Saccharomyces cerevisiae S288C: one gene and its partners. Changing the gene in region 3 together with the main gene of any one other region gives a genetic interaction. Each region holds a gene or a part of one and is shown on either strand. Other genes may lie near its edges. The genes, in order: RIM1, EFM6, BIT2 and HXT5.

What was found.
Region 1: mutations in BIT2 (region 3) and RIM1 together harm fitness more than expected from each alone (negative genetic interaction), as found in Saccharomyces cerevisiae (2 studies listed by BioGRID).
Region 2: mutations in BIT2 (region 3) and EFM6 together harm fitness more than expected from each alone (negative genetic interaction), as found in Saccharomyces cerevisiae (2 studies listed by BioGRID).
Region 4: mutations in BIT2 (region 3) and HXT5 together harm fitness more than expected from each alone (negative genetic interaction), as found in Saccharomyces cerevisiae (2 studies listed by BioGRID).

Annotation. Positions count from the first base shown.
Region 1 is NC_001135.5:170,429-177,883, reverse strand, and holds RIM1 (Rim1p), read left to right. Parts: upstream 1-4,443; coding exon 4,444-4,685; intron 4,686-4,768; coding exon 4,769-4,934; downstream 4,935-7,455. Other genes in the region: 40S ribosomal protein uS11 RPS14A, read left to right, coding at 1-384; SYP1 (Syp1p), read left to right, coding at 1,446-4,058; FEN2 (Fen2p), read left to right, coding at 5,460-6,998. UniProt on the Saccharomyces cerevisiae protein: This protein binds preferentially and cooperatively to single-stranded DNA (ssDNS). Involved in mitochondrial DNA replication. Stimulates PIF1 helicase activity.
Region 2 is NC_001146.8:584,339-592,365, reverse strand, and holds EFM6 (putative protein-lysine N-methyltransferase), read left to right. Parts: upstream 1-4,518; coding exon 4,519-5,259; downstream 5,260-8,027. Other genes in the region: rRNA (cytosine-C5-)-methyltransferase RCM1, read left to right, coding at 1-939; FAP1 (Fap1p), read left to right, coding at 1,206-4,103; KSH1 (Ksh1p), read left to right, coding at 5,546-5,764; cyclin-dependent protein serine/threonine kinase regulator SSN8, read left to right, coding at 7,075-8,027. UniProt on the Saccharomyces cerevisiae protein: S-adenosyl-L-methionine-dependent protein-lysine N-methyltransferase that methylates elongation factor 1-alpha (TEF1 and TEF2) at 'Lys-390'.
Region 3 is NC_001134.8:741,039-749,512, reverse strand, and holds BIT2 (Bit2p), read left to right. Parts: upstream 1-5,114; coding exon 5,115-6,752; downstream 6,753-8,474. Other genes in the region: UBX7 (Ubx7p), read left to right, coding at 142-1,452; HSM3 (Hsm3p), read left to right, coding at 1,710-3,152; EFM2 (S-adenosylmethionine-dependent methyltransferase), read right to left, coding at 3,402-4,661; SDH8 (Sdh8p), read left to right, coding at 6,937-7,353; mitochondrial 54S ribosomal protein mL54 MRPL37, read right to left, coding at 7,897-8,214.
Region 4 is NC_001140.6:291,091-300,030, reverse strand, and holds HXT5 (hexose transporter HXT5), read left to right. Parts: upstream 1-3,583; coding exon 3,584-5,362; downstream 5,363-8,940. Other genes in the region: SFB3 (Sfb3p), read left to right, coding at 1-886; PAL2 (Pal2p), read left to right, coding at 1,422-1,546, 1,671-2,646; hexose transporter HXT1, read left to right, coding at 7,406-8,940.

The DNA of each region.
Region 1 (7,455 bases), on a different chromosome or scaffold from region 3:
TCCCAAGTTTTTGGTGTTGCTAGAATTTACGCTTCTTTCAACGATACTTTCGTTCATGTTACCGATTTATCTGGTAAGGAAACCATCGCCAGAGTTACTGGTGGTATGAAGGTTAAGGCTGACAGAGATGAATCTTCTCCATACGCTGCTATGTTGGCTGCCCAAGATGTTGCCGCTAAGTGTAAGGAAGTCGGTATCACTGCCGTTCACGTTAAGATCAGAGCTACCGGTGGTACTAGAACCAAGACTCCAGGTCCAGGTGGTCAAGCTGCTTTGAGAGCTTTGGCCAGATCTGGTTTGAGAATTGGCCGTATCGAAGATGTTACCCCAGTTCCATCTGACTCCACCAGAAAGAAGGGTGGTAGAAGAGGTAGAAGATTATGAGTTATGCATGTATTGTACTTGTATTGCCGTATTATTTTTTACAGTTAAAAAATGTGTACATATAATTATATAGCGCCCATAATCAAATCAGCTCATACGTCAATTTAGTAATAAAAAAAAGCCCTTATAACCTTTTAGTTAAGAAGATTCAAGATTGCGATTTGATTAACGTCATTACGGAAATGTAAGGACACAATTACCAAGAGTTACAAAATCGGTTCAGAGATTTAAAACTGTCGAAAACACTGTAATCATAAAGTTTGAATGCTTTCAGATACTATCTAGCATAAATTGTGTTTAAAAAAATCATCATTTTAGAATTTTGTTGACAAGAACATCTGGTGAAGCAGGCTACCCCTTTTTAAAATACGTGGAAAAAAAAATGACGTTCTCGTCATTGTCATCTTCCATGTCTACGCCTTTTCGTGTCCATTTCATTCTATTGATTAACTTATTAGACATCGGAGGGAAGTTTTTCCACCTATGTTATATATGTAAATTTTTTTTTGAAGGAGGCGCGCATAAAATAATCTCACACTATTTTGAACATTGCTTAGGGTTGAGTGGGGAGTAAAGAATAAAGCGAATCCTATTCGTGTAAGCCGGTCTACTTATTGATAACAATATTTTACAGGCGGCTATCATGTTTCAGCTTACGCATTCACAGTCAGGTTGGTGCTCTACATGAATACCAGCGTTTACTTTCATTTACAGAGTACTAGCACCTCCACTGTCGCTAATACTGAATTTAGTTTTGAAGAGTGAAAACAACTAAATCAGGCGGTAGAAGAAAATCAATAGCTCATATATTCTTATATATTACAGGTGATATTTGTATATGATTATGAATGGCTTTTCGTAGCCCGTGATCTTTCATTTCTATATTATGTGTAGCTAAAAGGGCCCCTTAAGTACTTGCAGATTGAAAAACTCTATATTGCATTCAAGTTTTCACGAAATACAAAGAAAAGGTCTCGTAGTTATTGCCTTAATAAAGGAATTACTTTTGCTGTAGTCGTATTGAAGCAAGCTTATTTGAAAATTGCGAATAATCACCTCTCATGACGGAACAAAGAACCAAATATGCAGATAGCATATTGACTACTAAGAGTCCTTACGAGGCTACCGAAACTATTAGAATCAGGTTATCGCAGGTCAAATTGTTGAATAAAGACTTTTACCTGTTATTTAAGGAATTGGCAAATCTGAAGAGGAACTATGCTCAGCAATTGAGAAAAATAATAGCTGAAAATGAAGATATAACAAAGATCTTAAACGCTCAAATGATTGAAAGTAATGTTTTGACTCCGCAGGAAATGAGTGCATTCAGATTCAACTCGCTGGGAGAGCTAAGAAATGTATGGGATACTGTAATTGAAGAACTAAAATCAGATTTGAAGTCAAGTACAGAATACTACAACACTTTGGACCAGCAAGTCGTTCGTGAATTGAAGGAATCCGTGGAGAACAATACTAGCTGGAGAGAAAGCAAGGACTTACATTCCAAGCTTAGTAAAAATGCAGCTTCAATTGAGCACTATAGTAAGAATAACGAAAACTCTAGTCACTTAGAAGAGGCAAGAAGGCAATGGGACCAGCAAAGCCCCTATTTGTTTGAGCTGTTCGAGACTATTGACTATAACCGTTTGGACACTTTAAAAAACTGTATGCTTAGATTTCAAACCAGTTTTAGCGATTATTTACTAAATACTACCAAAGAATGCGAAACGGTGATGACGAAATTCCTGGCATTCGAACCGCAAAGTGAAATTGATCGTTTTGCCAAAGATGCCAGTCAATACAACTTCCAACTATCCTCTTCTTCCAAAGAAGTAGTTCCTAATAATGCTTCGCCAGCTTCTGCCACTGGTGCCCGCCCGGTCTCTGTATCCAATGGTGCCGCTAATACGGAAAGAGAAAAGAAATCCCCACAAAAGGATAAGCGTAAGAGTGCATTTGGAAACATTGGACATCGTCTTGCCTCTGCATCTTCCAGTCTCACTCATAATGATCTCATGAATAACGAATTTTCAGACTCTACTAATAATTCTTCCTTGAAATCAAAAAAGTCGTCCCACACCCTAAGATCTAAAGTGGGCTCAATTTTCGGTAGAAATAAGACCAAGAACAAGAGACAACAACAATCATCATCAAACTCTCATATTCAGGCATCCATCACTGAGACTCCGAATAATTCTTCCACCAGAGTGTCTTCAACTGCAACTTCTTCTATTTATCAGAAGCAACGTCGACCCACCTATTCATCATCAAAATCAAACAATTGGACCCCGGGTGAAGCTAGTGACACTCCTCCTCTTCCTCCCCATGCTACTCCTAAAAACGTAGATGCACCTGTTACTGCCGATACACCACCTGCGCAAACTTTTACTCCTTCTGAAGTGCCTCCTTCAACGCCACAACAAAGTTCTCCACCCACTGCGAAAGAACCAGACTCAAGTAACTTACCCAAGACAGTACCGATATCAATTTCTCAACCTCCACTTCAGCCACAATCAAAAACAAAACCATTACCAGTTGAGCCTGCCTCTCCCAGTATTTCACTTCCTACTGCTACGGTTGATAACCAACCTTCAGGTCAAGTTGATTCAAGGCCCTTGCATATCCGCGCACCTGCTTTACCACCCTCAAGGAAACAAAATTTCATTCATAACAGGGATTCTCAACTCTATGACTCTTTGCCTAATCACGGCTCAGGCGCTACCCCTACTTCTTCTTCCTTGTCCTCTATTCCCCAGGAACGTCCAGTTTCCACACTCTCCTCTCAGATTACTGGCGAGCTAAGAGAACTAAATCCTCAAGCCACGGGCTCTTCAACATCTTTAGTTGGTCAATCGTTGTTTCAGCACTCCTCTTTAGATACATCTCAATTTGGGTTGAATGCTAGTATCGCAGAAGTGCTCAATGCTTCTTTCAAAGACGGTATGTTGCAGAACTCCCAACTGATTGGGGAAATTGCCCTCAACTATTTACCCAATTCTGTCATGAATTCGCCTTTACCTATCGGTATTAATTTGAGAATCAATAATGGCGCTAAGTTCGAAAAGGTCATTCTGAACCAAGCCTTTATTGAGCGTGTTGCTCCAGAAGAATTCAAAGTTAACCCTTCATTTATCGATTCTAGAACCTTAGGAGCTATTAAATATTCCATAAAGGAGCCGATCGCGCCTATTGTTATTCATCCGGTCTGGAGATTTGAATCTCACCAGGCAAGTGTTGTATTGACTGTCAAGATGTCACCAAGCTTACCCGATGAAATATCACAAATCGTAATAGAAGACCTCGTTGTCTTTGTGAATATCGATGGTGCTAATGCAACAAGCGCTTTATCAAAACCTCAGGGCTCCTTCAGTAAAGAAAAGAAGAGAATAACGTGGAGATTTAAAGAACCAGTTGTTTTGACAAGAAATGGTGAAGGTCAAAGATTAATCGCCAGATTTATTACAGACGGCCTGGCACATGAATCCGCTAAAGGCGTGATTACCAAATTCACTATCAGTGAGACGGATAACGTGGCTCTACCCCATAGCGGAGCCGGCAGTGGAATCACCTTGACTTGTCAGGAGCTGGATGAAAACAATCCATTTGGTGGTGAGTGGCTCGATGTAAACACAAAAAGAACTTTGACCACTGGTAACTACCATGGTCTCGCTTGATATTTCTGCTATGCTTCTATTTTTCAATATTAATTGTTCTTTTGTTTGCTAATCCATAATTTATGGAGGTGGCGCCGCTAAATCATATTTTCCTTTTGAAACCTTTGTTTAAGACTTACGTAGAACTACACTTATGTACTATAATGTTCTGTAAAGATTCTGTATTTTCGTTCTTTTCTATTCCATTTTTCGGACTTTTAGGACTTTTCATCTAATACTTATTATTTGTGGAGGAGTGCTTAAAAGGCGTTTGCGCCCAGACGAAAAAAAAAAAGCTAACACAGTAGTTGAGAAAGACAAATACCACGAATTTGATAACAAGTCATTTGCTAATTGTGTGTCCTTGACAAATACAAAACAAACAAAAATCCACTAATCCATTGTAATGTTTTTACGTACTCAAGCTCGTTTCTTCCATGCTACTACCAAGAAGATGGACTTCTCGAAAATGTCCATCGTCGGCCGCATTGGCTCTGAATTCACTGAACATACTTCTGCTAATAACAATCGTTATTTGAAATATAGTATCGCTTCGCAACCAAGAAGAGATGGCCAAACCAATTGGTATAATATCACCGTTTTCAATGAACCTCAAATCAATTTTTTGACAGAATATGTTAGAAAAGGGTATGTTATTTATTCTTCAATTTTACTTACTTTACAATTACGCGTTATAATTTACTAACATTTCCTTTCCATAATTTATTCAGCGCTTTGGTATATGTTGAAGCAGATGCTGCTAACTATGTCTTCGAGAGAGACGACGGTTCTAAGGGTACTACTTTGAGCTTAGTTCAAAAGGACATTAATTTATTGAAGAATGGGAAGAAATTAGAAGATGCTGAGGGCCAAGAAAATGCTGCTTCTTCAGAATAATTGTAATATTTACGCTTGCTTATTTCGACTCTTCCTCGATATTTTTTATCTAGAGCATGCTTTCTTTTACTTAAAATATTTATGGCAAATAGGAAAAATACATTTGGAATAACGAACTAGTTATGTAAAACTATGCTTATTCTCAAATAGAATGTATATATACTATAATATATTGGTTAACGTGTGTTATGCAAAATGCTTTTTGATGATGAAATTTAGCAAAAGAGGAGGAAGCTTTAGCGAATTTAACATATCCTTCATTGTTACAAAATTGCCTACACCTCCATTGATCCATGCAGTCCGATTATTGTAGATTTTGAGTAGTCGATCTTGAAAGGCATTTTTGACGAATTACAAGAACTCAGCATCGATCAAATCTTCTACATGCGTATATTGTAAAGGAAGACATCGGCTCTTAAGAGAAATGAGGCGGACCTGTAATTCTGATATAAAAGTATTCCGATTTATTCAAGATTGAGAAGCTGTTTTCAGAATTTTTGATTGGAGAGAGCCTGGGCCTAAGTCATGATGAAGGAATCGAAATCTATCACTCAACATGAGGTTGAGAGAGAATCTGTTTCTTCCAAGCGTGCCATTAAAAAGAGATTACTTCTGTTTAAAATAGACTTGTTTGTGCTATCATTTGTTTGCTTGCAATACTGGATTAATTATGTCGACCGTGTCGGTTTCACCAATGCATATATATCCGGTATGAAGGAAGATCTTAAGATGGTCGGAAACGATTTGACCGTGTCTAACACAGTTTTCATGATTGGTTACATTGTAGGTATGGTCCCCAATAATTTAATGTTATTGTGTGTTCCGCCCAGGATATGGCTAAGTTTTTGTACGTTTGCTTGGGGTTTATTGACCTTGGGAATGTACAAAGTTACATCGTTCAAACATATTTGCGCAATTAGATTCTTTCAAGCCTTATTTGAGAGTTGCACATTTTCAGGAACACATTTTGTTTTGGGTTCGTGGTATAAAGAAGACGAATTGCCCATTAGAAGTGCTATTTTTACAGGTAGCGGTTTGGTGGGATCTATGTTCAGTGGATTTATGCAAACAAGTATCTTTACTCATTTGAATGGGCGGAATGGCTTGGCGGGTTGGAGATGGTTATTCATTATTGATTTTTGTATCACATTACCCATTGCAATTTATGGGTTTATTTTCTTCCCCGGCCTTCCTGATCAAACAAGTGCTGTTAGCAAATTTTCTATGACGAGATACATTTTTAATGAACAAGAGCTACATTATGCTAGGAGAAGGCTCCCCGCTAGGGACGAAAGCACCCGGTTAGACTGGTCGACTATTCCTAGAGTCTTAAAAAGGTGGCACTGGTGGATGTTCTCTCTTGTTTGGGTTCTGGGAGGTGAGAACTTGGGTTTCGCATCTAATTCTACATTTGCATTATGGTTACAAAACCAAAAATATACGTTGGCGCAAAGAAATAATTATCCTTCGGGGATATTTGCCGTAGGTATAGTTTCTACGCTTTGTTCTGCTGTATATATGAGTAAGATCCCAAGAGCTAGGCATTGGCATGTTTCTGTTTTCATATCATTGGTAATGGTTATTGTTGCGGTACTAATACGTGCAGACCCACTAAATCCAAAAGTCGTCTTTTCTGCACAGTATCTTGGAGGCGTAGCATACGCTGGACAAGCGGTTTTTTTTTCGTGGGCAAACATTATTTGTCATGCAGATCTTCAAGAACGTGCTATCGTTCTTGCTTCCATGAATATGTTTTCAGGGGCCGTTAACGCATGGTGGTCTATATTATTCTTTGCTTCAGATATGGTGCCCAAGTTTGAGAGAGGTTGCTACGCCCTCTTGGCTACGGCAATATCAAGCGGAATTGTCTCGGTCGTCATACGCTCACTACAGATAAAAGAGAATTTGTCTAAGAAACAGGTTCCTTATATAGATGCTAATGACATGCCCGGAGAAGATGACGATGACGACAACCAGGATAATGAAAATGATGGCGACGACGAGAGTATGGAAGTTGAACTTCATAATGAGGAAATGGCCGAAATTTCAAATCCTTTCCGATAGATACATTCGATTCTTTTAGCTATTCATTGGTCCTGTTGATGGTAATGGAAAATCTCAGGGCTCTTTTCAAAAGTATCATGAACAATAGCCGCTAAGACACTTCTAAAGAGGTCTACTTAGTTTTTCATCATGCATTTTTCGATTTCTGTTTAACTAATCTTTCTTTTCTTCCTTGCCAAGTGCAGGACAATTTCTAAGTCTATGTTTTTAAAAGCTTCTTGCTAACTTATTCGAAAAGGTTTAGTAAGTATTTTGTTCTCTGCTATGCGTTCACGCACTCTGCTATTTTCTACTTCTTGGTAGAAGTTAAAGTAAGTCAACTAATTACGACACCATGTCTGATGCATTTTAGAAACTTCAAATTTCAAGATTATTGTGACACGAAAAATTGGTTATTTTATGAAACAATGTAAGGAAAGCATTAGAATCTCAGGCAATAGAAGAGACCAAGAAGGAG
Region 2 (8,027 bases), on a different chromosome or scaffold from region 3:
AAGTTTACTTTAAAGGTAGACAAATGGTCTGAACTAGTTCCTGGGTCTATCTATTATGATGAGTTTATTCCAAACTTGTTTGGAATTCATCCGTCTGACAAAATTACAGCACATGAGCTTTATAAGCATGGGAAGATTATCATTCAAGATCGTGCTTCTTGTTTTCCAGCCCACATTTTGAATCCAGGACCAAGTGATATTGTGATAGATTCCTGCTCTGCTCCAGGTAATAAGACTACCCATACGGCCTCTTATATATATCCCGAACCACCGAAGGACAATAATACTCGAATATACGCTTTCGAGAAGGATCCTGAAAGAGCAAAAGTTTTACAAAAAATGATCAAGATAGCTGGCTGTTCTCCCAACATCAGTGTCAATGTAGGTGATTTTACAAAGCTCGCTACTCCTGAAAAATATAAGGACGTTACTTGTTTTATTGTAGATCCGAGCTGCTCCGGTAGCGGTATATTTGGTCGTAAGTTTTTTGACTCATTTAATAGAAGGAAAATTGATGATAAAGATGACGATGGTGGCATTGTGCCGGATGAGCAAGAGGAGTTTATAGCAAAGGAAGAACTACAGACAAGGTTAGCGAAGCTGAGTTCATTTCAGTTCCAGATGGTAAAGCATGCAATGAGTTTCCCAGCGGCTAAAAAAATAGTATACAGCACATGTTCCATTCATGCGGAAGAAAATGAACGAGTCGTCATAGACCTTCTTTTAGATAAGTCAGTTAGAGAATGGGGTTGGAAAGTAGCGCCAAAAAGAGAAGTTATTCCTTCTTGGCCTAGAAGAGGCAAGGTAGAAGAGTTCGAAGAGGTTTTTAGAGATGGAGTCACCTATGACCCTCAACAGCTTGCCGAGGGTTGTATCAGGGCACTACCAAAAAGTGACGGTGGTATTGGTTTCTTTGCTGTCTGTTTTGAAAGAGATTAAACTTTCAGAACATTCATGTATATATGTGTATATCTGATATGTATTATTGCATTTTTGCTGTAGTACTACGGAAAAGACATTTCAATAATCTATACATCCCGCACATAAAGGAAGATTTTCGGGTAATATACTATTATAAAAATTATCGATGAGCTCTGTGAAAAGGTCGTAAATATAAAAGTTCTTTCTTGCGACAGTGGCAACAACCAAGTGAAACAGCGTGAGACGAGACTGCTCTAATCTATTTGCAGTCGTAGGCATTACAAATGACCGAACATGAGTCTTTAGGCCTGGAGCAAAATCAAGACGGCGGTGACACTTATAGACATCACAACCTAAGCGATGGGTGTATTTCGAGTGTTGAAGACGCCAACGAGCAGCCTAGTTCGTATGAAGAGGAAAGTGATGATGATATGCAATATTACGAACGTGCGATCCAGGAAATTTCTAGCGGTGACTCATATGTTTGTATGATTTGTACAGTAGAGATGGATTATACGTGCCAAATGTTTGCTTGCAAGAGATGTTATAGAGTGTTTGATTACGGATGCATAAGAGAATGGGCGTTAAAATCAACGGAAAAAACCGTAGATAGAATATGGAAATGTCCAAACTGCTATTATGTTAGCAAAAGAGTTCCGGTAAAAAATCGGCCCACATGTTGGTGCGGTAAAGTTGTTAATCCTGATCCGAATCCGCTGGATCCTAACTCATGTGGACAAACCTGCAATGCTTCTACTTGTATGCATGGTTGTTCCAAAATTTGTCATCTAGGGCCGCATCCAGAGTGTACTAGAATGGTCGAGATTATGTGCCACTGTGGTAAGCATTCGAAAAGTATCTTTTGTTACCAGTCTAAAGTTATGAAAAAAAACTTCAACTGTCAAGAAGTATGTGGATTGCCTTTATCTTGCTCCATCCACACCTGTAAAAAGAAATGCCACCCTGGCTTATGTGGGCCATGTCCAGAAATGATAATTAGTAAAGATAGTCCGAAAAAGCAAATAAAATGCTACTGTGGTAACCACACTCGTGCTAACATAAAGTGTAGTGAAACAAAGTTTCCCAAGTCCGGTAAGTCGTCGAAGGATGAAAATGGGAACAGGTGGATAGGCGTGTTTGCCTGTGCAGATAATAGAGTTGTCGACTACTCATGTCGCAAGCATTCATTCATAGAATCTTGCATAAGCCCACCCACAATTAATGGAGAAAAGGCATGCCCATTTTTGCCTAGCTCTTTGAAAACTTGTCCCTGTGGCCGGACAGCCCTAGAGGAACTGACTAAGCCTCGTAAGCATTGTGATGATCCGATACCAACCTGCGACTCAAGATGCGGTAAACCACTAAAATGTGGCAAACATTCGTGCCCCTTCACTTGTCATGATAAAGCCTGTATGGAACCCTGCTTGCAAATTGATAGTGTAAAATGTGCTTGTGAGCAAAGTACATTTTCAGTTCCATGTGGATTTCAAGGAAGGCCTCGCTGCAATATTAAATGCGAATCCCTGATGTCATGCCGTAGACATAGATGCACCGATAGGTGCTGCAGTGGTAGGCCATCGGCGATAAGAAGGAAGAAAAACTTGTTCAGAACGCAAGATTTGTTGGATGAGTCTCTTGTGGAAGCAAAACATATCTGCCTAAAACCGTGTAACTTGACCCTATCATGTGGAATTCATAAATGTCAGAGAAAATGTCACCCAGGAAAGTGTCCGCCCTGTTTAGAGAGTGATTCGAACGATCTGGTCTGCCCATGTGGCAATACAGTTGTTCCTGCACCCGTGCGTTGTGGCACGAAGCTACCTACATGTAATCATCCATGTATTAAAGTTGTGCGTGGCGAATCTACGTGTGGTCATAAACCAATGCCACATACCTGTCATTCCTTGGATGTGTCGTGCCCGCCATGTACGGAAACCGTATTTAAACCTTGTAAATGTGGGAAGAAAACTAAAGTGAGAACGGTTTGTTTTCAAACAGACGTATCATGTGGAATAAAATGTGGGATACCACTCTCTTACTGTTATCATACCTGCCAAAAAACATGTCATTTACCAGGAAATTGCCAAAAGGTGTGTAAACAGACCTGTGGGCAAAAAAGGCTCAATTGTAATCATGAATGTCCTAAACCGTGCCATGGTAAGACAGAGTGTCCCGATTTACCTTGTGCCACGCTAGTGAAAATTTATTGTAAATGTGGAAGGATCAAAAAAAGTGTTACTTGTGGCGCAAAAAGTGATAGAGTAAGTGTAACTGAATCTTCCGTGCTGGATTGCAATGAAGAATGTGAAGCTTTGAAACGACTAAAGGAATTGAAGGAGGCATTTGGAATTAAGGAAGAAACCAATAATTTTACAAGTAATGAACTAGATGCGTTAAAAAAACTGGTCTCTGTTGCTACAACATTTGAAGAACTGCAGTTACCGTTTACAGAGGCAGCATTATCAGTATATTCAAAGCAAGAAAGATGGTGTTCACAAATTGAAGCTATTCTTAATAAATTAATGGACGATAAAACACGTTCAAGCTTGCATTTCAAACCTATGAGGCCTCCTCAACGCCACTTCATCCGTGAACTAGCCAAAGCTTACGGCCTATATTCCGAGTCTCAGGACAGAGAGCCCATGAGATCTGTATTTATTAAGAAAGAAGATAATGGCGCAAGCAATAAACCAGTCTTATCATTAGCAGAAGCTTACCCACTATATGAATCATTTAAACAATTGCAGAAGGAAAGGAAAGCACAAGAATTTCAAGCTCGCACCACAGCTAAACTAATCAACTTCGAGGTTCAAGATACGGAACCTAAAGTAGAGGTGGCTAAGAAAAATGGTTTTTTGGTTCAAAATTTGGTTGCTGGAAATACTGCCGAAGATCTAAGGAGATTTTTTGAACCACATCTCAAGCATACGTTAGTAGTGAATCCTCAATACCTAATCCTTGATGATGGCAAAACAGCACTAGTGTATCCTGAAAATTACGAAACAGCATCCGTGAATACCGAACGTGACATGGAGCTTTTGGTTGGACACTTCGATTTTATGGCCAAAGAGGCATTTTTGGCCGATTCCATTTCGTTGTGTTCAACTGAAGAAGAACTTGAAAGAAGGTTGGATACGCCCGTAATTCAAGAGGATAGTCCTGTAATGGATAATAATACATGAACTATAATAGCGTGTCATTATTTATTACGCGGAATTCTAATTAAATAGAAATATCTAACTTTTATTTTTTTTCATCCTATCTCATTTCTTGTTTCTCCCTGTCGTTGCTAAAATACGAGGATCTGCATATGTTTACATATCAACGTTCCCGTAAACGAATGGAGAATACTGAGTGTCACGTTAATAATACGGATATTATAATTTGGAAACCTAGTCAAGTAAAACCAGAAGAGATTTTTCTTTTCTCTTAAGCTTTTTTGGCTTGACCAAACGAAAAGTCCCTCACACCCAAACACTGAAAGTAATTCTTCGTATTTAAATAATTCAAAAGTTATGATGAGCAGGCTCTATGTAAAAAAATGGCCCATAATTTTCCCTAGAACGTTATAAAAACGCGACTAGTGAGGTATTGAGTATGGAGAGTATATTTGGTGGGTTTGGAGATCTAGTTGTTCCTAGGCCAAAGGAGCATCTCGGTCAAACAGACCTTTCCTTCGGTGGAAAATTATTGCCTGCATTGAAAATTTGTGAAGATGGCGGTGAAAGTGGTTGTGGCGGTAAAGTCTGGATCGCTGGCGAACTGTTGTGCGAGTACATACTCGAGAAATCAGTTGACCATCTGCTAAGTAAGACGGTCAATGGTACGAAACAATTTAAAAAAGTCTTAGAATTGGGTAGTGGTACAGGTTTAGTTGGATTGTGCGTGGGGTTGTTGGAAAAAAACACATTCCACGATGGCACTAAAGTATATGTTACGGACATTGACAAGTTGATACCACTATTGAAAAGAAATATAGAACTGGACGAAGTTCAGTATGAAGTTCTTGCGAGGGAACTTTGGTGGGGTGAGCCGCTGTCGGCAGATTTCTCACCTCAAGAAGGTGCTATGCAAGCAAATAACGTTGATCTAGTTTTGGCAGCTGATTGTGTGTATCTCGAGGAAGCTTTTCCATTACTAGAAAAAACACTACTTGATCTCACTCACTGCATAAACCCACCTGTAATCTTGATGGCTTACAAGAAGAGAAGAAAAGCTGATAAACATTTTTTCAACAAGATTAAAAGAAATTTTGACGTTCTTGAAATTACAGATTTTAGTAAATTTGAACATTATCTTAAGGAAAGAACCCACTTGTTTCAGCTTATCAGGAAGTAACCTGACACAGTGAATTTATCTCTTAATGATCCTGATCTTATTATATTTAGTAATGAACTTTTCGATAGACATTTGTAATTCATGAAAAAACGATATAACATTCATTTTTGTAGTGTGGTGTACGCATGGTGGGACTGCTCTTCTTGAGCGAAATTTTGATCTTCAATAGAGTGAGCAACGACAACTCAAGGATAAAGACAGAACAGCGGTAAACATCGTTTGCAAAATAACTAGAGAGCCGGATCGATTTACTTTGCAAAGTTGCGTCCTTTTTCCACGACAGAATATGTCTGCATTATTTAATTTTCGTTCTCTTCTGCAAGTGATATTGTTACTGATTTGTTCATGTTCTTATGTTCATGGGCAGTGGCCGTCTCTCCTAGATCGTTACAAAAATCATGAGGTTTTGGGGGCCTTCTGGAAAATGGCACGTGTTGGTGAAAGGGCCAGTCCATATGTTAGTTTAGCATGTATTTTGATGGCCATCAGTCAATTTAACAGCTGATTGGAAGATACTTAGTCATATGGATTTAAAGTTACGCAAATCAAGGTCATAGAAGGTGCAGTACCTTTTAAAACAAAGAGTATAAGTGGATTCAGACGAAGTGTCTCTTTAATTCTATCGTCTGATAGCGTACAAGTAAGGGTGCTATGAGCTAGCACGCACAGCAAAAATATAAACACTTTTGTATTTTTTTTTATTTTATAGTGTTTTGTGTTGAGTATTCATCTATTCGACCTCTATAGAGATTTAAGAAGGGAATTCATTGTCACAATAAGGACGCATAGTTGTTCATTTTAGACATCATTTACAGCACTTCCGTAAACTACCCCATATTGCGATTGAATACTACCGAAAAGGCTCAAGAATTTACGTGGTGCCCAATCAATTATATAGAATGAGGAACAATGGTAAGTAATGAATAATCATGGTCAGTAATAAAAAAGCAATCTCGTCCATGTTTCTTTTTGAAACTCAGAGCTTGACTCTGTTGCATTGGTATTTCATCATTTGATGAATTATTCACTATTCCATCTTCTTCTTACACAAGTTTACCAATAAATAACTCATCTGAGTTATTCAGACTTTTTATTAGATCAGTTCGGCATATTTAACTATGCAAAAGTTTTACACTGCTAAAAAGTAGTGTAAACAACAAACTGTTAAAAAAATAAAAAGGGGTGAATCCATGGACCAAGAATAGTAAGCTCCATTGGGTTACTCGATCCAGCACGGGAAAGAGCAATCGTCATAACTATGGTTTAGATTCCATACAAACGGAATCCAGTACCGAAGAAAACACCAGTACCCTGCAATAGAGGTACCAGGTCAAGAAGCAGAATACCCAAGGGCATCCTCCTTAATGAGTTGATTTAAACAATTTAAAATTTTTAAATCTCATTACGTTTTCCGCATACGAATTGGTGGGAGACTTTCAACCCAAAGCATATTACTGAGTAAAAAAAATTTTACTCCATTTTGTAAGCTTCGATTTGTGACGATTCTTTGGTCATGGATTGAAGAACTTTAAACGAGAAGAAATTAGAAAACAGGTGAAGACCACTATTTAGTTCTTTACCGCAACATAGGATAAACAAAGTTATTTTCTTACTCCTTTATATATTTGAAAAAATATAAAATCCACGGAAAAACATCGAAAATTCATTTTTCATGAAGGAAAATTAGGGTTCATACAGGAGTAGAGTTCATTGATGTGGTAGCAACCTTGTTAGCACTCATATTGTTCGAACAAAAAATGCCCTCTCAAACTTTAGTTGAAGAGCGATAAGGCATCTGAATCTCAAAAGTTAGACATGTCGGGGAGCTTCTGGACATCTACACAAAGGCATCATTGGCAATATACCAAGGCATCATTGGCTAAAGAGAGGCAGAAGTTATGGCTATTGGAGTGCCAGCTGTTTCCTCAAGGTTTGAATATTGTAATGGATTCGAAGCAAAACGGCATCGAACAATCCATCACAAAGAATATACCAATAACTCACCGAGACTTACACTATGATAAAGATTATAATCTAAGGATCTACTGCTATTTCCTGATAATGAAGCTTGGAAGGAGACTAAATATAAGACAGTATGCACTGGCTACAGCACATATTTATCTATCAAGGTTTTTAATAAAGGCTTCAGTTAGAGAAATAAACCTATATATGCTGGTTACTACGTGTGTATATTTAGCATGCAAAGTTGAAGAATGCCCGCAATATATCAGAACTTTGGTAAGTGAAGCCCGTACCTTATGGCCCGAATTTATTCCTCCTGACCCTACTAAAGTTACTGAGTTTGAGTTCTACTTACTAGAAGAATTGGAAAGTTACTTAATTGTCCACCACCCTTATCAATCCTTAAAGCAAATTGTTCAAGTCTTAAAGCAACCGCCATTTCAAATAACACTATCGTCAGATGATCTACAAAACTGTTGGTCCTTAATCAACGACAGTTATATAAATGATGTTCATTTGCTTTACCCTCCTCATATTATCGCTGTTGCATGTTTATTCATTACGATTTCCATTCATGGGAAACCAACCAAAGGATCATCGTTAGCATCTGCGGCTTCTGAAGCCATCAGAGATCCTAAAAATTCTAGTTCTCCTGTTCAAATAGCTTTTAATCGTTTTATGGCAGAATCTCTTGTAGATCTTGAGGAGGTTATGGATACGATTCAAGAGCAAATTACATTATACGATCATTGGGACAAGTACCACGAACAATGGATAAAGTTTCTGCTACATACTTTGTATCTTAG
Region 3 (8,474 bases):
TTATTAAAATGACATTTAAAGCCGCTCTTTATTAACTTCGGCAGGCCTCGTAGTAATGTTGAAAATTTAAAAGGGAGCTGGGTTGAGGTTGAAAGCACTTACAAAGAAGCAAGGATAGCTAAACCAAACAGCCGTAACCAAATGTTAGAAGCACTGTTTAGAGATTCTGTGGAAGAAGCAATAAACGATTCCATCAAGGAAGGCGTTGTGCTGGCCGTTTACAACACTGCACGGGATGACCAGTGGCTGAAAAGTTGGTTTAAAGGAGATGATGTCTCATTAGATACTTTAGCGGAACATAGTATTTGGTTGAGGTTGGTCAAAGACACTGAGCAGTTCCAGTTATTTGAGCAAGTATTTCCTAATGTAGTTGTACCCAGTATATACTTGATACGTGCTGGAAAGATAGAATTGATTATTCAAGGCGAGGATGACCGACATTGGGAGAAGTTGCTGGCGTGCATAGGCATCAAAGACAAAAAGGCTGGTGAGAGTTCGTCCAGGGAAACCAATCCAGGTTTGGCTAGAGAAGAAAAGTCATCCAGAGACGTCCATAGGAAAAATGCAAGAGAACGGATTGCTGAGACTACCTTAGAGATCCAACGTCGTGAACAACTGAAACAAAGAAAGCTGGCTGAGGAGGAAAGAGAAAGAATTATAAGACTTGTTAGGGCAGACCGTGCAGAAAGAAAAGCTCTTGATGAAACTCATCACAGAACCCTTGATGATGATAAGCCATTGGATGTTCATGATTACATAAAAGACGCACAAAAACTGCACAGCAGCAAATGCGTCTTGCAAATCAGGATGACTGATGGCAAGACTCTAAAACATGAGTTCAACTCGTCTGAAACATTAAATGACGTTAGAAAATGGGTGGACGTCAACAGGACAGATGGAGACTGCCCGTACTCATTCCACAGGGGCATTCCCAGAGTGACATTTAAGGATTCTGATGAATTGAAGACGCTAGAGACACTAGAACTAACTCCAAGGTCTGCATTATTACTTAAACCACTAGAAACTCAAAACTCGGGGCTATCTGTGACTGGGATGGAGGGACCAAGCCTTTTGGGCCGTCTTTATAAGGGATTCTCTACGTGGTGGCACAACGATAAAGATCCTGAAGTAACATCACAACGTGAGGAAACATCGAAGCCGAATCGTCACGAAGTGAGGTCTTCAACACCTTTATCTGGAGCTGCTTCGTCAAGCTGTTTCCAATACAACAATGTTCGGGAACCAGTTCAATCATCTGCTCATGCATCACCAATGCTGACACCTAGCGGAACCAGGTACCCATCGGAAACCAACCTTACTACGTCACGTTCTGTCTCGCCAAATGTTTTCCAATTTGTTAACAACGATCATCAAGAAGATCCTGAAGACCCAACAACCTTTAATGGTAATAATGTCCATTTAGAAAAGAAAAAGGACGAAGATAAAAAATAAGTAGTTAATGGCTTCAACTCCATTTATGACTAGTATTAGACGTGAATTTTTTTTGATTAGATTACATAAAAAAATATACAGTAATTTTATTTACATGGATTTTTGTTATAGCTGGTATTTTTATATCTTTTTTTCTGTTTCAAATGCATATAGAAAAATTGAAGAGTAAGTTTATATAAACACCTTAATTACGGGATTAAAAATAAAACAAGTTTACAACTATAATCACCGCAAAAGAACTCAGCGAAACAGGAGCAATGAGTGAGAAAGAAACAAATTACGTGGAAAATCTCCTTACGCAATTAGAAAATGAACTTAATGAAGATAACTTGCCTGAAGATATCAACACACTATTAAGGAAATGTTCTTTGAATCTTGTGACTGTTGTCTCCCTTCCAGATATGGATGTTAAACCACTACTGGCTACGATCAAGCGTTTTCTGACGTCTAACGTATCCTATGATTCATTGAATTACGATTACCTTTTGGACGTTGTGGACAAGCTTGTTCCCATGGCTGATTTTGACGATGTTCTAGAAGTTTATAGCGCGGAGGACTTAGTGAAGGCCCTTAGGTCAGAAATAGATCCATTAAAAGTAGCAGCATGTAGAGTCATTGAGAATTCGCAGCCAAAGGGTTTATTCGCGACCAGTAATATCATCGATATTCTATTGGATATTCTATTTGATGAGAAAGTGGAGAATGATAAGCTCATTACAGCAATCGAAAAAGCGTTGGAAAGGTTGAGTACAGATGAATTGATTAGGCGTCGATTATTTGATAATAATTTGCCATACCTGGTGAGCGTAAAGGGTAGAATGGAAACGGTTTCTTTTGTCAGATTAATTGACTTCTTGACTATTGAGTTTCAATTCATCAGCGGTCCTGAGTTCAAGGATATCATATTTTGCTTTACTAAAGAAGAGATACTGAAATCCGTTGAAGATATCCTCGTTTTCATCGAATTGGTTAATTATTATACTAAGTTTTTGCTGGAAATACGAAATCAAGATAAATACTGGGCTTTAAGACATGTAAAAAAAATACTGCCAGTATTTGCTCAACTTTTTGAAGACACGGAGAACTATCCTGATGTCAGGGCCTTTTCTACAAATTGTCTTTTACAGTTATTCGCAGAGGTGTCACGAATTGAGGAAGATGAATATTCTTTATTCAAGACTATGGACAAAGATTCTTTAAAAATTGGGTCCGAAGCAAAATTAATAACCGAGTGGTTGGAATTAATTAATCCGCAGTACTTGGTAAAATATCATAAAGATGTGGTCGAAAACTATTTTCACGTCAGTGGCTACAGCATTGGAATGTTGAGAAATCTTTCAGCAGATGAAGAATGTTTCAATGCTATAAGAAACAAGTTTAGTGCTGAGATTGTCTTAAGACTACCGTACTTAGAACAAATGCAAGTAGTAGAAACCTTGACGAGATACGAATACACTTCAAAATTTCTGCTCAATGAGATGCCAAAGGTGATGGGCAGCTTGATAGGTGATGGGAGCGCAGGTGCTATTATAGATCTTGAGACTGTGCATTATAGGAATTCTGCCTTGAGAAATTTACTGGACAAAGGTGAAGAAAAGTTAAGTGTATGGTATGAACCTTTATTGCGAGAATACTCCAAAGCAGTTAACGGAAAAAATTATTCCACAGGCAGTGAAACTAAGATTGCAGATTGCAGATGATTATGTTGCATAAGCGCAACTATAAAGGCGGCCTTGATTGTTTAATGTACTACCAGTATTGATTCCTGTCTGAATCAAAAACTAACCTTTTGGCGAGGTGGCCCATTCAGTTTTCTTCTCCATAAATTGTATAAATCAGTATGTAAGGTCTGGCAAGTACTTATAATTCACATTTCAATGTCTATGTAGCATGCATGATTTTTATTATAAAGAAAAACTATTCGCCTAAGCGCGTTCGTTTCTTTCCCACTAATTGCGAACGATTTGCCTATATAAATACTTAACGGCACCCCAATCATCCACACCCTCTGAATGCCGTTCTTCAACTACTTTTAAATCACTCTCTTTTAGTAATAATTTCAAAACCTCTCGTTCTTTGGCGTATTTTGCCCTTAAAGGTATTTCTAGGTGACAGGTCCCTGATGCCGCCAAAAACTTCGATATCATGTTAACTACCCATTCCGGATGCTGAGGCGAATATATCGGGTCGGCGATCAATATGACGTCAAATTCATTTTCATGTCCAAATTTATCTATAAAATCGTGAGGATTAGTCCAATCTAATATCTCTGCTTGAACGAAATCTCCTAAATTATTTAATGACACATTTTTCTTCAAATTCGTCACAATCTCGGGTAAATCCGTCACGAAGATTTCTATATTTTCAGTTCCATAAAGTTCTTTCCATTTTAAGGCCCATGAAAGTCCTACTAAACCAGTGCCCGCTCCTAATTCTAATACTTTAATCTGTTTGATGTCGCTGTTCGCTAACATGTTCACATTAGTGGTATGTAGGTAATCCAGGTGATCTACGACTAATTGTGAAAGTATTAAAGATGATCCCCATGTTTTCCAACCAAGATTATCGGCCGTTAAAGAGGGTTCATGAAGCGGTATGGAAGTGCTTAGATTTCTTAATTCAAAATATCTTACTATGGATGGTTGGGCCGTTCTCCCACAGTTTTCGGATATCCTTGAGCTCAATTCCTTAAGAAGTTCTTGTATGATTTCCTCATTCAATCCGCAACTATTATTGTATTTTTTCAATACACTAGTATAGTAGCCCAACAGTAGTTCTTTGGATACTGTAAATCTCAGCATTGGGATTTTATTGCATATCTTTTCCAACGAGTTTAACCTCTTGTTAGGCCATTCTTCTGTATACCAAGTCAAAAGTCTTTTCAGCAGATCGGGTTCCAGCCCATGACTCTTGCAAACCTCCAGTACAGATTTGTTCTTCCCTGTCTCCTGATTGAAGTTTACTTGTCTATCGGGCTTCAGAAGTATTAGTATACAAAGGATAACTTCTGGCGGAGCATACTTCACGGAGGGCAGATCCAGATTATCGATAATGGTGTCATCGTCGTCACTCTCTTCTTCATCTACAGCCGTTAATATTTCGTCACGTTGCGGTGAGCAAGGATCTTTTGGCTCTCTCTCTGCTAGATTGAACTGTAAAGCCTCAACCTGGATGTCATCAGGGGTGTACAAATCGAGAGGATCAAACATAGTGAAATATCCGCTATGGAACTCCTAACTTGCATGAGTTAGATACTTGAAAAGTAATATACAGATTGCACTACTATTATTTTGTAGCTCATCGCGAAATTGAAGAAAAAATTTACGATTGGAAAAAAAAAAACTACTATCAGAAATAGGTGAACCAATTTTAATGCCTGGATAGAGCTGCATACGCTACTAGCTTAAACCAATATTGGTGTCGCCTGTTTTCCTTTACCCAATCCAATATACCACTATACTGCGAATGAAGGTGTTGAAATAATTTGACAAGAGCACTTTATCCATTTTGCATGCGACCTTTACTAGCAATTTTTCAGCGATCTTTGCGGGCTTTAAAATAAGGTCAAAATTAAAGGGAGAAAGATAGAAGACAGTAAATAAAAAATACAAACCACAATAAGCATAAGTGGCTAGGCGAGTCTTAAACTACAGAGTCAAGCAATGGCAACAGACCTAAATCGTAAAAGAAGTGCTACCTCAGGCTCACTGAGCGTCACGAACCCGAACATAAAAGCAACTAATCGCAAACCAGCTAGAGTTTATAGTGTTTCTTCTGATATAGTACCGCAAGCGCTGACACATCCCGACGAAGATGTGCATCTAAAAACATCCAAATCTCCTCATGATGCCGCTCCTAGATGGTCACAGGTGGGGTTTCAATCTATATTCCATGATGGTTCCAATGCAAGGCGCTCGACGGATTCGATTGAAGAGGAGTACAGCCAAGGCACGGAGAATAACGATGGTCACTCCGAAATAGGTTCATCAAGTAGTAACCGAATGGAGGGGAACACCACGTCTAATGATAGTTTATTTTCTTCCAACTCAAGGGGCAATAAAAGGCGACTGTCCATCTTCACCAATTCAAAAGATAATATGAGAAATCGAAGCAGGAGCGGGTCAAAAAACTACGGCACTGTTATTACCGGCACAAGTAGTAACAACATAAGTAGGAGTGGCTCTAAATTGTTTCATACGAAATCTAATATGAGTGTGAACAGTTTACAATCTTCACTGTCTACAGGACATTCTCATTCAAACAAAGGCAGTAATGTCTTTAGCAAAATGGCAAAAAAGCTTTTACCCTACAAGCCGCATAATTCCATTGGTAAAGACGACGTTGAACCCGTAGTTCCCAGCCCATTCAGTAAATTTCTGCATTCTTCATATGGTAAACATAGGTCACCCGTACAGTTTATCCATACTTCTACTGGAGGCCTTATTGACTCTGGAAAATCTGTATATTCCTTTAACCCTAGCATTAACAACAACCCTAATGATACAGCTCTATCGCTGATCCAAGATGATGCTTTCGACGCGACTAATGTTTCTTTACTACATGATTTACTGAAAAACTTGCCATCCTTGATAGCAAACTATAAAAGCTTCACCGTACAGGAGTTATTTGTTCTGGAGGGGAATATCTGGGGTATATACTGCAGCATAGTTGTGGAGCTATTTAAAAACAAGAGGGTATGGCAATTGCCAGCAAAAATAGAAGATATTGACCGGCTGCTGGAATTTTATATCACTTTGAAAACACAAACCAAGGCTGCCGTAACGCACTCAAGGTTTTTGGCCGAAATCGAGGAATTCATTACCACTTCACTTTACATTTTAGAGAACCAGATTGTGTTCAATTATGCCAATGAGGATACCGTAAATACGGCTTTGAAAAGAGTCGGCATAATCTGGAAGGTGTTTTACCAACAGGTTTACTACGACATGATGGCAGTGTTACTGCCCTTCGAGAAAAGCTTCCAAAAAAATAGTAACTACTGGCTTGACGGATATCTATCTGAACCTTCAAGGTACGCACCGTCAATTGATGTCCTTTTATTAAAGTGTTTTAGAGACTCCATCATTCTTCCGTATTACGAAAGCTTCCTACATACAAATGACGGTGCCAGTAAGAGTTTTCAAAGATATATTTTCAGCGAGGAAGAACAGAACGGCGTCACAGAGGAAGATAAACTGACGCTGCTGCAGTGTTTTGGGATCCTGAATACCATAAAAGGTAACAGCAGAAACCAAAGAATTATTGGTGAACTTCTTGAGGGCATACGCATGAGTATATAATTAAATATTTTATTTAGTAATATACAATAGTGGCATATAGATAGGTGTATTTCCTTTTTCTTGTTCCAAGAATCCGGAAAAACAGATGCTCTTTTCCGCCCTATAAAGGGGCCAATGGGGAAAGTGCAGATCATATTAACTTGCTAAAGAGTCAGAAAGAACCAAATAATAAAAAGAAGAACTAATGTTGTGCGCCATCAAAAGCACAGGTTATCGGTATCCTCGCACGGGAGCCTTAAATCTACTACGTGGACGACCATTTAATATGGCCACCCGAAAAATAACTACTGAAAGGATCCCCGGCCCTCCCAAGCTGCCAAGAGAAGAGCAGGAAGAGTTCGAAAGACTTCAGAGGATTGCCACATCGCAAGAGGCAATAGATCAGTATAATGCGCAGGCCACCGGCGATCGTACAAAGGAGAGTTTGAATTCACCGCTTTTAACCAAAAACGATATTGGGTCATTCTCGCCTGAATTTTCCAAGACCATACCTGAATTCGAAGGTGATGTTAACCCCAAGACTGGTGAAGTTGGGGGTCCCAAGCAGGACCCGTTGAGACACGGCGATTATTCGTTTAACGGAAGAGTAACGGATTTCTAGATATTTGGTCCGGCCAATTTTTAATAATACTATTCTTATTTGATGAAACTGCGTAACGTTCAATTTACTTTTCAATATGTATGTTGTTATGCTTTATTTTGAATATATAATATATATATGTGTGTGTTATGAAATGCATACGTTTCATGTTTGCCTAAAATCTCTTTCTTGTGAGCGTCCTTCGAATTCTTTTCGAGTATGAATTGAACCTATTTCGCATGTTTTTCGTGGAGACAGTCTTTCTAGTGCTTTTTAACCTTACCTTTGGCATGTTTTTGATCTTTACACTGGGCACATTCATACTTATCTTAGCCATGATTGACAATTCAACTATCTTGTTTCTTGCGAATTTGTGGTACTCTAAAGGATTTAATTTTTAACGTTTTGTTTGTCCCACTTGGTATTCCCCAGGCGAAAAGATATGTGGGAACTATCATGTTTTTGTTGGTACAAAATAAGGCATTATGCTAAAAACATACTATTTAACCACGTACACACATATTTATTTACAAGGATACCAAACTTGATCTTATTAACGGAGGCTTAAAGTTGGCTCAAGAAATTGTTTTGCTTGATTCGCTGCCTGTTCGCCTTCCTTATGTTCTTTCTTCTCTTTAAGAGAGCCTGTCCCTCTGGGTCCTCAGCCGCATGTTCGACAACGTGATCACTATCCAATACGCTCCATAACCAATTTGGATACTCCTTGTCCTCGAGTGCCACTGCGTCTTTACCGCTCTTCCATATGTTTAAGTTAAGCGATGTTCCCGCAGGACACGACGACACCACTGACTTAACCGTGGGTTTATTATATAAGATACGACTGGTCGATATCAACCTGTAACCCAAACTGCGCGCCAACATCTTCAGTCTTCAGCAGCTATTTCCTTTGCTGTAGATATAACTGCTTTAAGAAGCCTATTAGTTTTTTCACTTTCGAGATTTTTGCGCCAAACAAGGGCGCACAAATACCCGGCATCACGCATTTATTATATGAAGAGAATATTAGAACAGGCATTTCAAAGCATGATTCAATGACTATAACATTGCTATAGAGGGGGTAGTGAAGAATTATCTAATGTACAAATGGTGAAGCAGTATATATGCGACAAAATACTAAAAAA
Region 4 (8,940 bases), on a different chromosome or scaffold from region 3:
TGTCATGAGAATAATGATCAAAGATGTCATAAAGACGCTCGGTGATTGTGACTTTGTAAAGATCAGAAGATTAATTGATGACAAGATGGTCGAAATCTTGACCCAATATAGAGGATTGGTTAGCAGTAACTCATCAACGCAATTGATACTGCCGGATTCTATAAAGACATTGCCTGCTTACATGTTAGCATTTGAAAAAAGCGAATTAATGAAGCCAAACGCTCAAAGTACCCGTGGTAATGAACGAATTTATGATTTATTGAAGTACGATTCATTGAACTCAGCACAACTTTGCTACAAACTTTATCCACAAATTGTGCCATTCCATGTATTATTAGAGGAAACTGATCTGACCTTTTACGATGCTAATGATAAATTATTACAGATCAACTCCAGCTCTATTAATAATCTATCTGTAAGAGCCTCACACTCTAATTTCATTAACGGCGGTTGCTACTTGATTTTCCAAGGTGATACTATCTATCTATGGTTTAATGAGAACACCAATAGAATGCTCTTGCAAGACCTGCTGTCAGTGGATGAATCCTTGCCCGTCAGCCAAATTTCGTTATTTAGTGGAACATTGCCTGAGACGGGCACTAGTATTAATCAAAAGGCTTCAAACGTCATTAAAAACTGGCAACAAGTAGTCAACAAGTCATCATTGCCGTTAGTCTTGTTGAGGCCTAATGTTGATCAATATTACAGTAATGTGATGAGTCAATTGCTTTGCGAGGACAAGACCGTCAACAGAATCGAATCATATGACAATTACTTGGTGATAATGCATAAAAAAATTCAAGAAAAACTTCAAAAAGACGATTTCATTAAAGTCTCGACTGCCGCAACTCACGAAAATATCCATCAAAAATTTGTGCAGTTTTGAGCCTCGCTCAAAGGAGACCCTGTGCTTACACGCAGAAAACTGGAAATAACGACATATTGTTGTGGCTGTGGCCGATGCGGTTCGTATATCCATTACTAAATAATTAAATACGTAAATGAATGAATAGACTGATATGATTGTGATTTTTACGTGTTGGCTATATTGTGCCTTTCTGCATTCACCTGCGCCTCCTCATGTAGAAAGGCGTTGATCAAGGGGAATACAGGAGAAGTATTTTTGGGTTCGTGTTTTGGTGGGGTTCCAGCCACAGAAGGGCTCTCGGCAGCGAAACGCTGACTATGCTGAGAATACTGCCAAAAAAAAAAAAAAGGCAGTATGTGAAACGCAGGCAGAGAAAGGGTGAAATTCTACATAGGATGAGAGAATCTCATAATTACAGGGATAAAACTGTAGCTTTGCTTCCTCTTTTATCTTTATTTTTTCTTGACTGTCTTCTGGTAAATCTTGCAAAATTACTACTATTTTGTATTTCAGAAGCGTTTTTTCCAAAGAATACTATATCAAACAGACGCAAATGAATCAAACAGGAAGGACCATAGGCGGTCCTCAAAATGGCGTGAATACAGTGATTAACCCCTTCAGAGTTTCTCCTTCAGAGGACAGAGTATCAAGCAGGGATGAAACGCCCAGGAATTATAAGTATGTGTAGCTCCACTCCCAAAATTGCACTACAGTGTAACTAACAGTCATGACTACTTCAGAATACTAACTTAACTCTTTTTCTCCTTTCAAAATCGATTGAGATAATCCATAATTATTGCAGTAACCCATTTTTAAATGAAGATGACACTAGGAGGGCCCATAACAGTAGCGTTTCCAATTCTAGACAAGAAAGACTCCCATCATATGAAGAAGCTGCGGGGACACCGAAACAGCAAGCTCCATACCCAAAAGAAAAGAAACGCAGTAGTGGTTCAAATAGTCACCAACACAACCACCACCACCATCGTCGTACATCACACGGACATAGGGACAAAGATAAGCAGAAGAGCAAAAGCAGAACCAAGGTTAAGCCCCCTAAAAATGTAGACACTATTGACAAGATGGATGTTACAGGATTATTTGGCGGATCTTTCCATCATGACGGCCCCTTTGATGCATGCACTCCACAGAGAAATAAGAATAATAAAGTGGCGCCTGTACTGGCCTTCCCAGCAGATGGTCCAAATAATACAGTAGGCGGCCGCACAAGTAAGAAGTCTACCTTAGATGAGGTGTTTGGTAGGGAAACAGTAGACGACGATTCTGAGACGCTGAACCAACTACAAGATAGAGCATATTTATTCAATAAGGCCAATTCCAGTACTACGACTTTGGATGCGATTAAACCGAATTCAAAAAATATTACCCAGTTCGATTCCAAAATGAAAACTGAACTAGTCCATGGGCCCATTACGATGGGTCTAGGCTCAACGACGTTCCTGGATGGCGCACCAGCGTCTTCCGCTGCCATAGAGCAAGATGTTATCAACCACGCACAAGAATCTCGTAGGAAAAACAGCATAGCAAGAAAAAAGTCTCTCCCCTCAAGAAGACATCTACAAGTGAACAACAACAATTTAAAGCTAGTGAAAACACATAGTGGACACTTGGAGCAAAAGGACGTAGACGATAATAGAACTTCTGTTCCGGTCACTGCCACCCAAGGAAGCGGTCACGAAGATGTTGTTAAAAAGGAAAACACCGGCAACAAGCTATTAAGGAGGGTGAAAAGCTTGAAAACTAGTAAAAAGCACTGATCAATGCTTCTTTCTTGCGTTCTTTTTGTTGCGCCCATATATTATTTTATTTATTACATTCATATAGCAATATTTACCTTATTTTATTGGTTACTTTTCTATACGCAAAATCACTACACTATGTTATGTTAAGGTCTCCGATACGGGAATATACCAATCAATACTTATCACTTCGGATTTTTTATGGGTCTTATCCCCACTGTTCCATTTTCTTGTTTAAGGCATCCCGGAGGATAAACTAAAAAGGTGGCCCATCCCACCCGAAATGAAAGTAATCATCTGCTAGCAAAAAGTAAAGAAATGAGAGCATGCTGTGATGTACTGGTGGACGAAATTGTGACCCATACCCACCGAAGAAACATCCGCATGACGTGTTACTGTTACTTCCCGGATTAAGGGATGCATTCTAACTCTGTGCGCCCTTTTCTCTGCAGTTGATCCGCATTCCCCGTGGCTGTGCACATTAGGGGACAGTAAGTAATTCACTTTCTGATCCCGCACTCATAGCGATGGAATAATATACCGGATTTCACACCTTGTTATTGAGTGAAGTACTGCTTGGTGAAATGATATCTTTATGTTCAATATTAATGGTCGTGTGGATGAATATATGGGCATGGGTTAATTAGTTTTAGGGGCACGGAGTAAACAAGAAAGGAGGGCCAGAATCATTAGTAGAGTACCTCAAGTTTGGTTTCTTTTTGATTTCACGTATAAAAGAGTCTCTCTCTTTTCTTTTCATGCTAGTCGAACGGTTCTCCCTCTAAGAATAAGAAACTATCAAAAGAAAGAGAAAAGTCGATTGAATAATTTTTCTATATATAATATACGCAAACAAGATTCGCTTTCACTTTGCAATTTTACTTCATAGCTTTGTTAAAACCAGCAAAAAATATTATTTTTCTAGAAAAAAGAATATATTAGAGGTAAAGAAAGAATGTCGGAACTTGAAAACGCTCATCAAGGCCCCTTGGAAGGGTCTGCTACTGTGAGCACAAATTCTAACTCATACAACGAGAAGTCAGGAAACTCGACTGCTCCTGGTACCGCCGGTTACAACGATAATTTGGCACAAGCTAAACCCGTCTCAAGTTACATTTCCCATGAAGGCCCTCCCAAAGACGAACTGGAAGAGCTTCAGAAGGAGGTTGACAAACAACTAGAGAAGAAATCGAAGTCGGATTTACTATTTGTATCCGTCTGCTGTTTGATGGTTGCTTTTGGTGGGTTCGTGTTTGGGTGGGATACTGGTACTATATCTGGTTTTGTCAGGCAAACAGACTTCATTAGGCGATTTGGCAGCACCCGTGCAAACGGGACTACCTATCTTTCCGATGTCAGAACCGGTTTGATGGTTTCTATTTTCAACATCGGCTGCGCTATCGGAGGTATAGTTTTGTCAAAGCTCGGTGATATGTATGGACGTAAGATTGGTCTGATGACTGTTGTCGTCATTTACTCAATTGGGATCATCATCCAAATCGCCTCCATTGACAAATGGTATCAATATTTCATTGGAAGAATCATCTCAGGACTGGGCGTTGGTGGTATTACAGTTTTGGCGCCTATGCTAATTTCTGAAGTGTCGCCTAAGCAGTTGCGTGGTACTCTGGTTTCATGTTACCAATTAATGATCACTTTCGGTATCTTTTTGGGATATTGTACTAATTTTGGTACCAAGAATTACTCAAACTCTGTCCAATGGAGGGTACCATTAGGCTTATGCTTTGCATGGTCTATTTTTATGATTGTTGGTATGACGTTCGTTCCTGAATCCCCACGTTATCTGGTAGAAGTGGGAAAAATTGAAGAGGCCAAGCGGTCCTTAGCAAGAGCTAACAAAACCACTGAAGACTCTCCTTTAGTAACTTTAGAAATGGAGAACTATCAGTCTTCTATTGAAGCTGAGAGATTGGCGGGCTCTGCTTCTTGGGGGGAATTGGTTACTGGTAAGCCCCAGATGTTCAGACGTACACTAATGGGTATGATGATTCAATCTTTACAACAGCTGACAGGTGACAATTACTTCTTTTACTATGGTACTACAATTTTCCAGGCTGTTGGTTTGGAAGATTCATTTGAAACTGCTATTGTTTTGGGTGTTGTTAATTTTGTTTCGACTTTTTTCTCGCTATATACCGTCGATCGTTTTGGTCGTCGTAATTGTTTGTTATGGGGCTGTGTAGGTATGATTTGTTGCTATGTCGTCTATGCCTCTGTTGGTGTTACCAGATTATGGCCAAACGGTCAAGATCAACCATCTTCAAAGGGTGCTGGTAACTGTATGATTGTTTTCGCATGTTTCTACATTTTCTGTTTCGCTACCACTTGGGCCCCCGTTGCCTATGTCCTTATCTCTGAGTCGTATCCCTTAAGAGTACGTGGTAAAGCAATGTCGATTGCAAGTGCCTGTAACTGGATTTGGGGGTTCTTGATCAGTTTTTTCACTCCATTTATTACTTCAGCAATCAATTTCTATTATGGCTATGTCTTTATGGGTTGTATGGTGTTCGCATACTTTTATGTGTTCTTCTTTGTTCCAGAGACAAAGGGCTTAACATTAGAAGAAGTCAACGAAATGTATGAAGAAAATGTGCTACCTTGGAAGTCTACCAAATGGATCCCACCATCTAGGAGAACAACAGATTATGACCTAGACGCTACTAGAAATGATCCGAGACCATTTTATAAAAGGATGTTCACTAAAGAAAAATAATCTCTTGTAGTGTAGGATCAACTATTTTCGCATACTTGCAATGTTCAGCATTGCACCATTTCAAATTTTAATATTAATATTAATCGTTTTCGTTCATATGTTCATTCATAGTTTACAAATAATGCAATCATATGCAGAGATATTTTGTCCGTGGTTAATAGGGCTGCCTGTTATTCCTTTAATTCAACTAAATTACGTATGTCTAATAATATCAAAATCATCATGACGTTTTTGTTTTTTTTCTTTATTTTAAGTAGGATCAAACCAGGGGAGAAAGGGTTGCTACGCCTAACAACAAGAACTTGTATATCGTTTCTTGTTACTTATACTTTTCTGCCCACTTCTCTCTTACAACTGCTCGAGCTCATCCTTGGTAATAAAACAGTGAGGACGGTTACTCGAGGTTTCAACAGGGGAAAATAAATTTATATGATGAATCAAGAGCCCCGTTCTTTTACCGTATTATCCTTCATACTACATACTAGGGAAAGAACTGAAAACTCCGCTACCTGCTGTAACAGCGCATAATAAAAAGCAAGAATATAGACAGTTACTGTTGTTTACGTTCTTTGATGACATCATTCTCATCAGACATACAGAAACACATCCTTTTTGTCTACCCCGTATTTATTCCAACTTCAAAGTATAGGTACCGTCCGGTTATACTCTCATATACTTTGTGGCAGTTTGCTTCTTTAAACCTTGTTAACCCAGAATATTTTCAGTGCAAAAAGCTTCCGATCCTCAAATACAGTGAGAGAAAAAGCAAACTTGTCTTCATTATTTTTCTGTTTGGCCCTGTCACGGTTCTTTTTATGGCCTTCTCGAAGGATATCCGTAGTCAATTATATTCACGTAGTTGCCAAAAGTAATTTTTGGAAAACTATTATTCCTCCGAGAAAACCTCACACAGAAATCCTTGCAGGTCTCATCTGGAATATAATTCCCCCCTCCTGAAGCAAATTTTTCCTTTGAGCCGGAATTTTTGATATTCCGAGTTCTTTTTTTCCATTCGCGGAGGTTATTCCATTCCTAAACGAGTGGCCACAATGAAACTTCAATTCATATCGACCGACTATTTTTCTCCGAACCAAAAAAATAGCAGGGCGAGATTGGAGCTGCGGAAAAAAGAGGAAAAAATTTTTTCGTAGTTTTCTTGTGCAAATTAGGGTGTAAGGTTTCTAGGGCTTATTGGTTCAAGCAGAAGAGACAACAATTGTAGGTCCTAAATTCAAGGCGGATGTAAGGAGTATTGGTTTCGAAAGTTTTTCCGAAGCGGCATGGCAGGGACTACTTGCGCATGCGCTCGGATTATCTTCATTTTTGCTTGCAAAAACGTAGAATCATGGTAAATTACATGAAGAATTCTCTTTTTTTTTTTTTTTTTTTTTTTTTTACCTCTAAAGAGTGTTGACCAACTGAAAAAACCCTTCTTCAAGAGAGTTAAACTAAGACTAACCATCATAACTTCCAAGGAATTAATCGATATCTTGCACTCCTGATTTTTCTTCAAAGAGACAGCGCAAAGGATTATGACACTGTTGCATTGAGTCAAAAGTTTTTCCGAAGTGACCCAGTGCTCTTTTTTTTTTTCCGTGAAGGACTGACAAATATGCGCACAAGATCCAATACGTAATGGAAATTCGGAAAAACTAGGAAGAAATGCTGCAGGGCATTGCCGTGCCGATCTTTTGTCTTTCAGATATATGAGAAAAAGAATATTCATCAAGTGCTGATAGAAGAATACCACTCATATGACGTGGGCAGAAGACAGCAAACGTAAACATGAGCTGCTGCGACATTTGATGGCTTTTATCCGACAAGCCAGGAAACTCCACCATTATCTAATGTAGCAAAATATTTCTTAACACCCGAAGTTGCGTGTCCCCCTCACGTTTTTAATCATTTGAATTAGTATATTGAAATTATATATAAAGGCAACAATGTCCCCATAATCAATTCCATCTGGGGTCTCATGTTCTTTCCCCACCTTAAAATCTATAAAGATATCATAATCGTCAACTAGTTGATATACGTAAAATCATGAATTCAACTCCCGATCTAATATCTCCTCAGAAATCCAATTCATCCAACTCATATGAATTGGAATCTGGTCGTTCAAAGGCCATGAATACTCCAGAAGGTAAAAATGAAAGTTTTCACGACAACTTAAGTGAAAGTCAAGTGCAACCCGCCGTTGCCCCTCCAAACACCGGAAAAGGTGTCTACGTAACGGTTTCTATCTGTTGTGTTATGGTTGCTTTCGGTGGTTTCATATTTGGATGGGATACTGGTACCATTTCTGGTTTTGTTGCTCAAACTGATTTTCTAAGAAGATTTGGTATGAAGCACCACGACGGTAGTCATTACTTGTCCAAGGTGAGAACTGGTTTAATTGTCTCTATTTTTAACATTGGTTGTGCCATTGGTGGTATCGTCTTAGCCAAGCTAGGTGATATGTATGGTCGTAGAATCGGTTTGATTGTCGTTGTAGTAATCTACACTATCGGTATCATTATTCAAATAGCCTCGATCAACAAGTGGTACCAATATTTCATTGGTAGAATTATCTCTGGTTTAGGTGTCGGTGGTATCACAGTTTTATCTCCCATGCTAATATCTGAGGTCGCCCCCAGTGAAATGAGAGGCACCTTGGTTTCATGTTACCAAGTCATGATTACTTTAGGTATTTTCTTAGGTTACTGTACCAATTTTGGTACCAAGAATTACTCAAACTCTGTCCAATGGAGAGTTCCATTAGGTTTGTGTTTCGCCTGGGCCTTATTTATGATTGGTGGTATGATGTTTGTTCCTGAATCTCCACGTTATTTGGTTGAAGCTGGCAGAATCGACGAAGCCAGGGCTTCTTTAGCTAAAGTTAACAAATGCCCACCTGACCATCCATACATTCAATATGAGTTGGAAACTATCGAAGCCAGTGTCGAAGAAATGAGAGCCGCTGGTACTGCATCTTGGGGCGAATTATTCACTGGTAAACCAGCCATGTTTCAACGTACTATGATGGGTATCATGATTCAATCTCTACAACAATTAACTGGTGATAACTATTTCTTCTACTACGGTACCATTGTTTTCCAGGCTGTCGGTTTAAGTGACTCTTTTGAAACTTCTATTGTCTTTGGTGTCGTCAACTTCTTCTCCACTTGTTGTTCTCTGTACACCGTTGACCGTTTTGGCCGTCGTAACTGTTTGATGTGGGGTGCTGTCGGTATGGTCTGCTGTTATGTTGTCTATGCCTCTGTTGGTGTTACCAGATTATGGCCAAACGGTCAAGATCAACCATCTTCAAAGGGTGCTGGTAACTGTATGATTGTTTTCGCATGTTTCTACATTTTCTGTTTCGCTACTACCTGGGCCCCAATTGCTTACGTTGTTATTTCAGAATGTTTCCCATTAAGAGTCAAATCCAAGTGTATGTCTATTGCCAGTGCTGCTAACTGGATCTGGGGTTTCTTGATTAGTTTCTTCACCCCATTTATTACTGGTGCCATCAACTTCTACTACGGTTACGTTTTCATGGGCTGTATGGTTTTCGCTTACTTTTACGTCTTTTTCTT